Linked DNA regions of Saccharomyces cerevisiae S288C. The protein of the gene in region 1 interacts with the protein of each later gene in a pairwise test. Each region holds a gene or a part of one and is shown in the gene's direction. Other genes may lie near its edges. The genes, in order: RHO5 and TRR1.

Region 1 (3,359 bases):
TTTACCGGCGGCCAAAAATACTAACGTAATCCCGTTGACGTTTACGCATGCAGTGTTGTAGGCTCACCAGCAATTATGTTAGTTGAGATGTAACTGCTTCGCGTGAACACTACGTAAATGTTATTGTGTGGAACTGACGTGGACCTTTTCTGTGTTGCTTTTAGTATAACGATATCCATCCTTTTACTTGGATTTTCAAGGTATGTTGACCCTCAATAGTTTGAGCCAGCACGATGGCAGGCCCTTAGGCAAATCAAAAGCATCATGCGGCGGAGGATTTATCATCGTGATGTCATTTAGGATAACGCTATGCATCTTATGCCTGCTGCCAGACCGCGAATTTTTATTTTTTTTATGGTCTGCTTCTGGATCATGCGGGCCGGCCTTCTAAGACATTGACTACGCAGCCTTTCATGTACAATTTTACATTTGCCTGAGGATTGTTTGTCAGGTGTCGCGGCCACAATTCTCCGATTTTCTTCCTGCCATGTCCTGCTGCTTACATCAGCGCAGCACGTGAAAAAAAAGAGGAGGACTTTTGAGGATGGTTGAGTTTTTCTTTTAATCGTTTTGTTTCTTTATTGTTTTTATTTTTACGACATTTTCCCCTCGAAGAATATTTATCCGAAATCTCCTCAAACAAGACATAAATCAAGATGCAAATGGTGGTAGATAGAGAAAGCAACTAAAAAATGTCAAACAAGCGTCCTTATTTCATTCTACAGCGGTTAATTTCAAATACCCTAATCGGAGGTCTTATCTTATTTTTCAAGGGCAAGGCTCTCCACATCGGTAAGTGATGACCAGATAATGGAAAGTAGCAGAATTTTATTTATGTGCCATACAAGCCCGGAGAAACAGAGTAGCTAAAAAATTAAGGTGTGCAAAAGTGGTTTTGTTCCCCGACGCCCGGGCCTTTCTCTCCCCTGAATCTTTTCGTTCCGGCCCCCCTCTCTCAATACCAGATCTGCATCTATACTAAAGCTGCAGTGAGAGTAAACCGGAAAATTATCCTGCGTGTTTGCTTCGGTCTTAGCTTTTACTTGGGTATGCGAGAACCTCTAAGAGCTTAGACCGGTCTTCCTCCCTAAAAAGAAAATTATAAAAGGTTATTATCTGGACTAAAGCAAAAAAAAAACAACGTTTCGGCGTCCGCTCAAAATTTTCATTACGCTTCTTGGTCAAATCAGTTACGTAACGGGTTATGACGAATACGATGAGATGAGTAATTGCAGAAGGCTCCTATGCAGACAGCTAAGCAGTGCTTACTTGAATTACCTTCCCTTTTATTTCTTGATATATCGTCCTTTTTCTCTCTATCTTAGTTCTTGCGAGTACTGGCAATCATGTTTCTCCTTTTTTTTTCTTTTTTTTTTATTTTTTTTTTTTTTTTTTACTTTTCAGTTTCTCGTAGCTTTTCCTATTTTGCTATTTAAAGTAAGTTTAAATAGTACCCTCACTAAACACGTACGGCCGATCCACCAACGAACAAAAGCACGATCCTTGACCCATCATTGTATTCCAAAGCGTTGGAACATTCACTTTTTTTTTTCCGGTCTATTGCACAAGACAATATCCAGAATATTCAGTTGGATAGGAAATACAAGACAGGTGGCACCCACAAAGCACACGCCGAAATATTTATTAAATACAATATAGTATACTAATAAGTCTGATGAGGTCTATTAAATGTGTGATAATTGGTGATGGTGCAGTAGGTAAAACGTCACTTCTAATATCATATACTACCAATTCGTTCCCAACAGACTATGTTCCAACGGTTTTTGATAATTATTCTACTACGATAGCTATCCCGAACGGAACTGCGAGTAGCCCCCTAGAGCTTGACAATGGTAATGATAAAAGAGGTTCACTTTCATCTGCCAGTTCTTCACCAAGTACGGACAGAAAACTATATAAAATCAATTTATGGGACACTGCAGGACAGGAAGATTACGATCGTTTAAGACCGTTATGTTATCCCCAAACAGATATTTTTTTAATATGTTTCTCAGTAAGCGAACATGCTAGTTTTGCCAATGTCACAGAAAAATGGCTACCTGAACTGAAGCAGACTTCCAATATTGAAGGTACCTCTCTTTATACTAAATTAGGGAAGTATCCAATTCTATTGGTAGGCACCAAAAGTGACCTAAGAGATGATCCGGCAACTCAGAAAAAATTGCAGGAAGCAAACTCCGATTACGTGTCTCAAGAGGAAATAGATGAACTCGTACAAAGATGTGGGTTTATGGGCTATACCGAATGTTCAGCTGCTACCCAAGCAGGTGTCCGGGAAGTCTTTGAACAGGCGGTGAGGTACGCTATCTACGAACCAGAATCCCCTAACCAAAAATCAGCAAATCATACTCTAACTGATGAATTAACGACTGCAACAACCAACACCAATGGAGATAAAAATATTCGAGAACAAAAACAGCAACCACACCATAATAATAGTACAGATAGTACTCTTCCGAAAGGAAGCTTACAGCAGGAGAAGGAAGCTCTCAATATCAAACCCACAAAAAAGGGACAAAAAGACAAAATTCACGAGCAATCAAAAAGCAAAGGTAGTAAAATTGCCTCAAATAATCATCACAACAAGCAAGCTAAACCAAAGACGAGAAACGACAAGAAGAAAAAGAAGTCAAAGTGTGTAATACTTTAATATCAAGGAGGCAGAAAAAGTAAATAAATAATTACATATACCGATATCATAAATAAGAAAAAAAGAAATCTACACATATATTTACGTTCTCATTTCTAATCATCTTTTCTACTCTTGTTCTGACTCTTCTTTTTAGAATTTTGATTCCCGGTCTTATTGGCATTTCTCTTTGCCGCGACTTTCTTTTCCAATTGTAAAATATCTCTTTCCGTATTATCAAATAGTTTCTTCTGTAATTCCTCGTCATCAAATTCTTTACGAGCAAATTTCACAATTGAACAGTCTGAGATATACTTAACCTTCGTGTCTTTTAAGTTTACTTCCTCCAATTCCGGTGTCATTAAAGCGTACAAGAAACTTTGATCACCACGACGACCACTCTTGGTAAACAGCCACAATATGGGGTACAACAGAATACAGTAAAGTATTATTAACAATACCACCGAACCATTACTAATGACGCGGCGTAGGCTATTTGATCTCATAGTTCCAGGTTGAACCATAGTAATGGTAACATTTTTTCCTGTTCTTTCAGCGCCATTCGTCTTTTGGTTTTTTATGTCTTCGGTAAGTCTTCTTTGCAATTCCATCATACTCAATCCCAATTGTAGCTTGCTGCTTGCGAAAAACTTCAAGGCGCTTTTGTATTTGGCATTTTGCCACAACGGATCTTCTATATTAATATCAC
Region 2 (3,529 bases), on another chromosome or scaffold:
TTTCACTCTGAAACTTATAAATGCATACATACAGAAATTACTTTCGATTAATATAATAATATATTTTTAATAAACAATGAACTAATGCCCTTATTGTGTTTTGTTATTAACCTTTTCATCACCATTTTTTTTTGCTAGCTTCTACGGCATTCACTTACGTGCTGCAAAATTTCGCAGCATGGAAGAAATTGTTCGCGAAGAAAAAAGATTTCGCTCAGTGATTTGTAGTGACAATAGGTACCAGTGTTATCACTAAGTATATCTTTTAGTATATCTCTTCGCTTGAGGAGGGATCAAAAAAAAACAAACGTAAACGTGCACATAAACGTCAAGTACTTTTTGCAGGCATTAATATTCGTCTCCAACAAAGACAAATAAAGAAGCAATCTTTTCATTACCTTAAGCCAGTATCTATTGATATCAATCGATAAGGTTCGTTGTTATCGGTGCTAAAAATTATAAAGTGAAAATAAGAATCTTTTCATGTCGTGCTCAAACGGCATCTGGCCTACTGTATCTAATTTGTGCGGATCATTATCCTTCTTCACCTCTGTTATTTCATTGTTTCCACAAATAATTGAGACTTATCGAGATAAATCTGTCGATGGGCTATCGCCATATTTTTTGCTGGCTTGGTTATGTGGGGATATTACCTCGCTGATAGGGGCAAAGCTAACAGGGCAATTGTTATTTCAGATACTTTTAGCAATTTATTTTCTATTGAATGATTCTTTTGTATGTGGTCAATATTATTACTATGGCGTGCTGCATGAAAATAAATTGGCGACTGTCGGCCATGAGCCTAAACCTCTTCTTCCCGAACTGGTTGAAAATGGTGAGCTTTTGAGGGAGGAAGAGGACATGATACAAGGTGGTAGCAGTGCAGAAAGCCCTAGAAGCAGTAGAAGAAGGTCTGCCATTACAGCAGCCTTGGCTATAGCTCATACTATAAGTACAGCTAGCGCATATCCGCTAAATGTAGGCTCCACCCAATCACAAGTGGGGCCTCCCGGAGATGGTAAAAACAGCCAGCTGGGTACAATTTTATCTTGGATTGGCGCTTCCTTCTACGTAGGCGCACGTATCCCACAACTAATCAAGAATTACAATAGAAAGTCTACAGACGGCTTATCTCCCTTCCTATTTGCTACTACACTACTCTGCAATATCACGTATAATTTGAGCATCTTCACAAGCTGTAGATTTTTAGATAATCAGAACAAGAGGGAATTCATCGTGAATGAGTTGCCCTTTATATTTGGAAGTGCTGGAACAATTGCGTTTGATTTGATATACTTCTACCAATACTATATCCTTTATGCAACTGATATGCAACTACGTGAACTGGAAAGAGAACTATACAGTCCTGAAGAAGACAGTGCAGCGCAACTAGTGACAGAACGTACATCACTGTTGTCTGGTGAAACGCAAACATAGTTTTCCCTACGGAGTACTACCATTTATATTTAAACAATGCACTCTGCTCTTGGGATAGTCCTTGCGAGACCCTTTTTTCCCAATAGGAATACTACGTTCGTACTCTGTGTAAAAGTACCCAACTATAGTTAGCGCCAGTTTTACGTAAAACCGTCTATGTCTTGTTTGCATTCGCAACAGCTACAAACACATATAGTTTGTCACACTAATATTAATAATGAAAGTTATTATGTATTCACTGTGAACGCTTCAGTATACAGTACGGCAGTAAGTGTTTCATTCTGTTCTGGATTAATAATCTTTCACTTTGCCTAGCCATTTGGGGGCGGGTTTTGGCTGGGTTAGCTTCTCCTTAGTCATGGAGAAAAAAAATCGCCCGCAAGTATCTCGAAAAAGGAAAAAATGCCCACGCGTATAAGAGTGGACCCAACTGCTCGAGGTTTCAAGAGCTTGTAGATTAATTTCTGTAGTTCAGTTATACTTGCCTACAAGTGCTATACAGCAAATAGCGAACAGTACGAAAGTAAACATCATATTATCAATAATGGTTCACAACAAAGTTACTATCATTGGTTCAGGTCCAGCTGCACACACCGCCGCCATCTATTTGGCCAGGGCAGAAATCAAGCCAATCCTATATGAAGGTATGATGGCGAACGGTATTGCTGCCGGTGGCCAGCTAACCACCACTACAGAAATCGAAAACTTCCCAGGTTTCCCAGATGGTCTAACAGGTAGCGAACTGATGGACAGAATGAGAGAACAATCCACGAAGTTTGGCACTGAAATTATCACGGAAACAGTTTCCAAAGTTGATCTGTCTTCCAAACCATTCAAGCTATGGACCGAATTTAACGAAGACGCAGAACCTGTGACGACTGACGCTATAATCTTGGCCACAGGCGCTTCTGCTAAGAGAATGCATTTGCCGGGCGAGGAAACCTACTGGCAAAAAGGTATTTCTGCCTGTGCCGTGTGTGATGGTGCCGTCCCCATTTTCAGAAACAAGCCATTGGCCGTCATTGGTGGTGGTGACTCTGCATGTGAAGAAGCTCAGTTCTTGACCAAGTACGGCTCAAAAGTGTTTATGCTTGTCAGAAAAGACCATTTGCGTGCTTCTACCATTATGCAAAAGCGTGCTGAGAAGAACGAAAAAATTGAAATCCTTTACAACACTGTTGCGCTAGAAGCTAAGGGGGATGGTAAATTATTGAATGCCTTGAGGATTAAGAACACTAAAAAGAATGAAGAAACCGATTTGCCAGTCAGCGGTTTATTTTATGCAATTGGCCACACTCCAGCAACAAAGATTGTCGCTGGCCAAGTCGACACTGATGAAGCGGGCTACATTAAAACTGTCCCAGGCAGCTCATTAACCTCCGTTCCAGGATTTTTCGCTGCTGGTGATGTTCAGGATTCTAAATACAGACAAGCTATTACTTCTGCTGGCTCTGGTTGTATGGCCGCTTTGGATGCTGAGAAATACTTAACTTCCCTAGAATAGATGAATTTTCCATTATAAAATAGATACACTCAAATTTTTGTATACTTATCCAACAAATCGTTACTTTCTCCTTTTCTTTAATAAAAAGCAAACCATGAATTTTATTTCTTTTCCCCATTATTAGAGAAAGCCAATACATAATCTACATATATTGCGTGTCTGAATTAAACTTTTTAGACACATGACATAGGCCATCGGCTTACTTTGTAACGCGTGGTTGCCTATACACCGACTATTAAGTTATGACTAATATTATTGCTGCGCTTCCCCACCTGCATTTTTCTTGTCGTCTTTGCCAAAAGGAAAAAAAAACCTACGCAGATTGACTCTCTAAAAAATGATTCATGACCAGACAATTCAGTAAACATAAACTCTGTTGCATTCATTCTTCTGGAAAACTTTATAATAAAGCATCTGATATTACAGCTACTGACAACTAAGTGAATTTAAACTGCAATAATCACAAGAAAACTTAGTATTCCCTTATCATGTCCGAGGCGACTTTGCTATCTTACACCAAGAAATTATTGGCTTCTCCGCCGCAATTGAGTAGCACAGACCTACACGATGCGTTGCTGGTTATATTAA

The links.
Region 2: the proteins of RHO5 (region 1) and TRR1 interact in binary tests that used the Saccharomyces cerevisiae proteins (3 or more experiments, as listed by UniProt).

What each region holds. Positions count from the first base shown.
Region 1 is NC_001146.8:298,966-302,324, reverse strand, and holds RHO5 (Rho family GTPase RHO5), read left to right. Parts: upstream 1-1,675; coding exon 1,676-2,671; downstream 2,672-3,359. Other genes in the region: PBR1 (putative oxidoreductase), read right to left, coding at 2,767-3,359. UniProt on the Saccharomyces cerevisiae protein: Small GTPase that negatively regulates a MAP kinase branch, downstream of SLT2, of the PKC1-mediated signal transduction pathway.
Region 2 is NC_001136.10:1,181,318-1,184,846, forward strand, and holds TRR1 (thioredoxin-disulfide reductase TRR1), read left to right. Parts: upstream 1-1,981; coding exon 1,982-2,941; downstream 2,942-3,529. Other genes in the region: YPQ2 (Ypq2p), read left to right, coding at 484-1,437; TRP4 (anthranilate phosphoribosyltransferase), read left to right, coding at 3,430-3,529. UniProt on the Saccharomyces cerevisiae protein: Central component in the thioredoxin system. Reduces thioredoxins 1 and 2.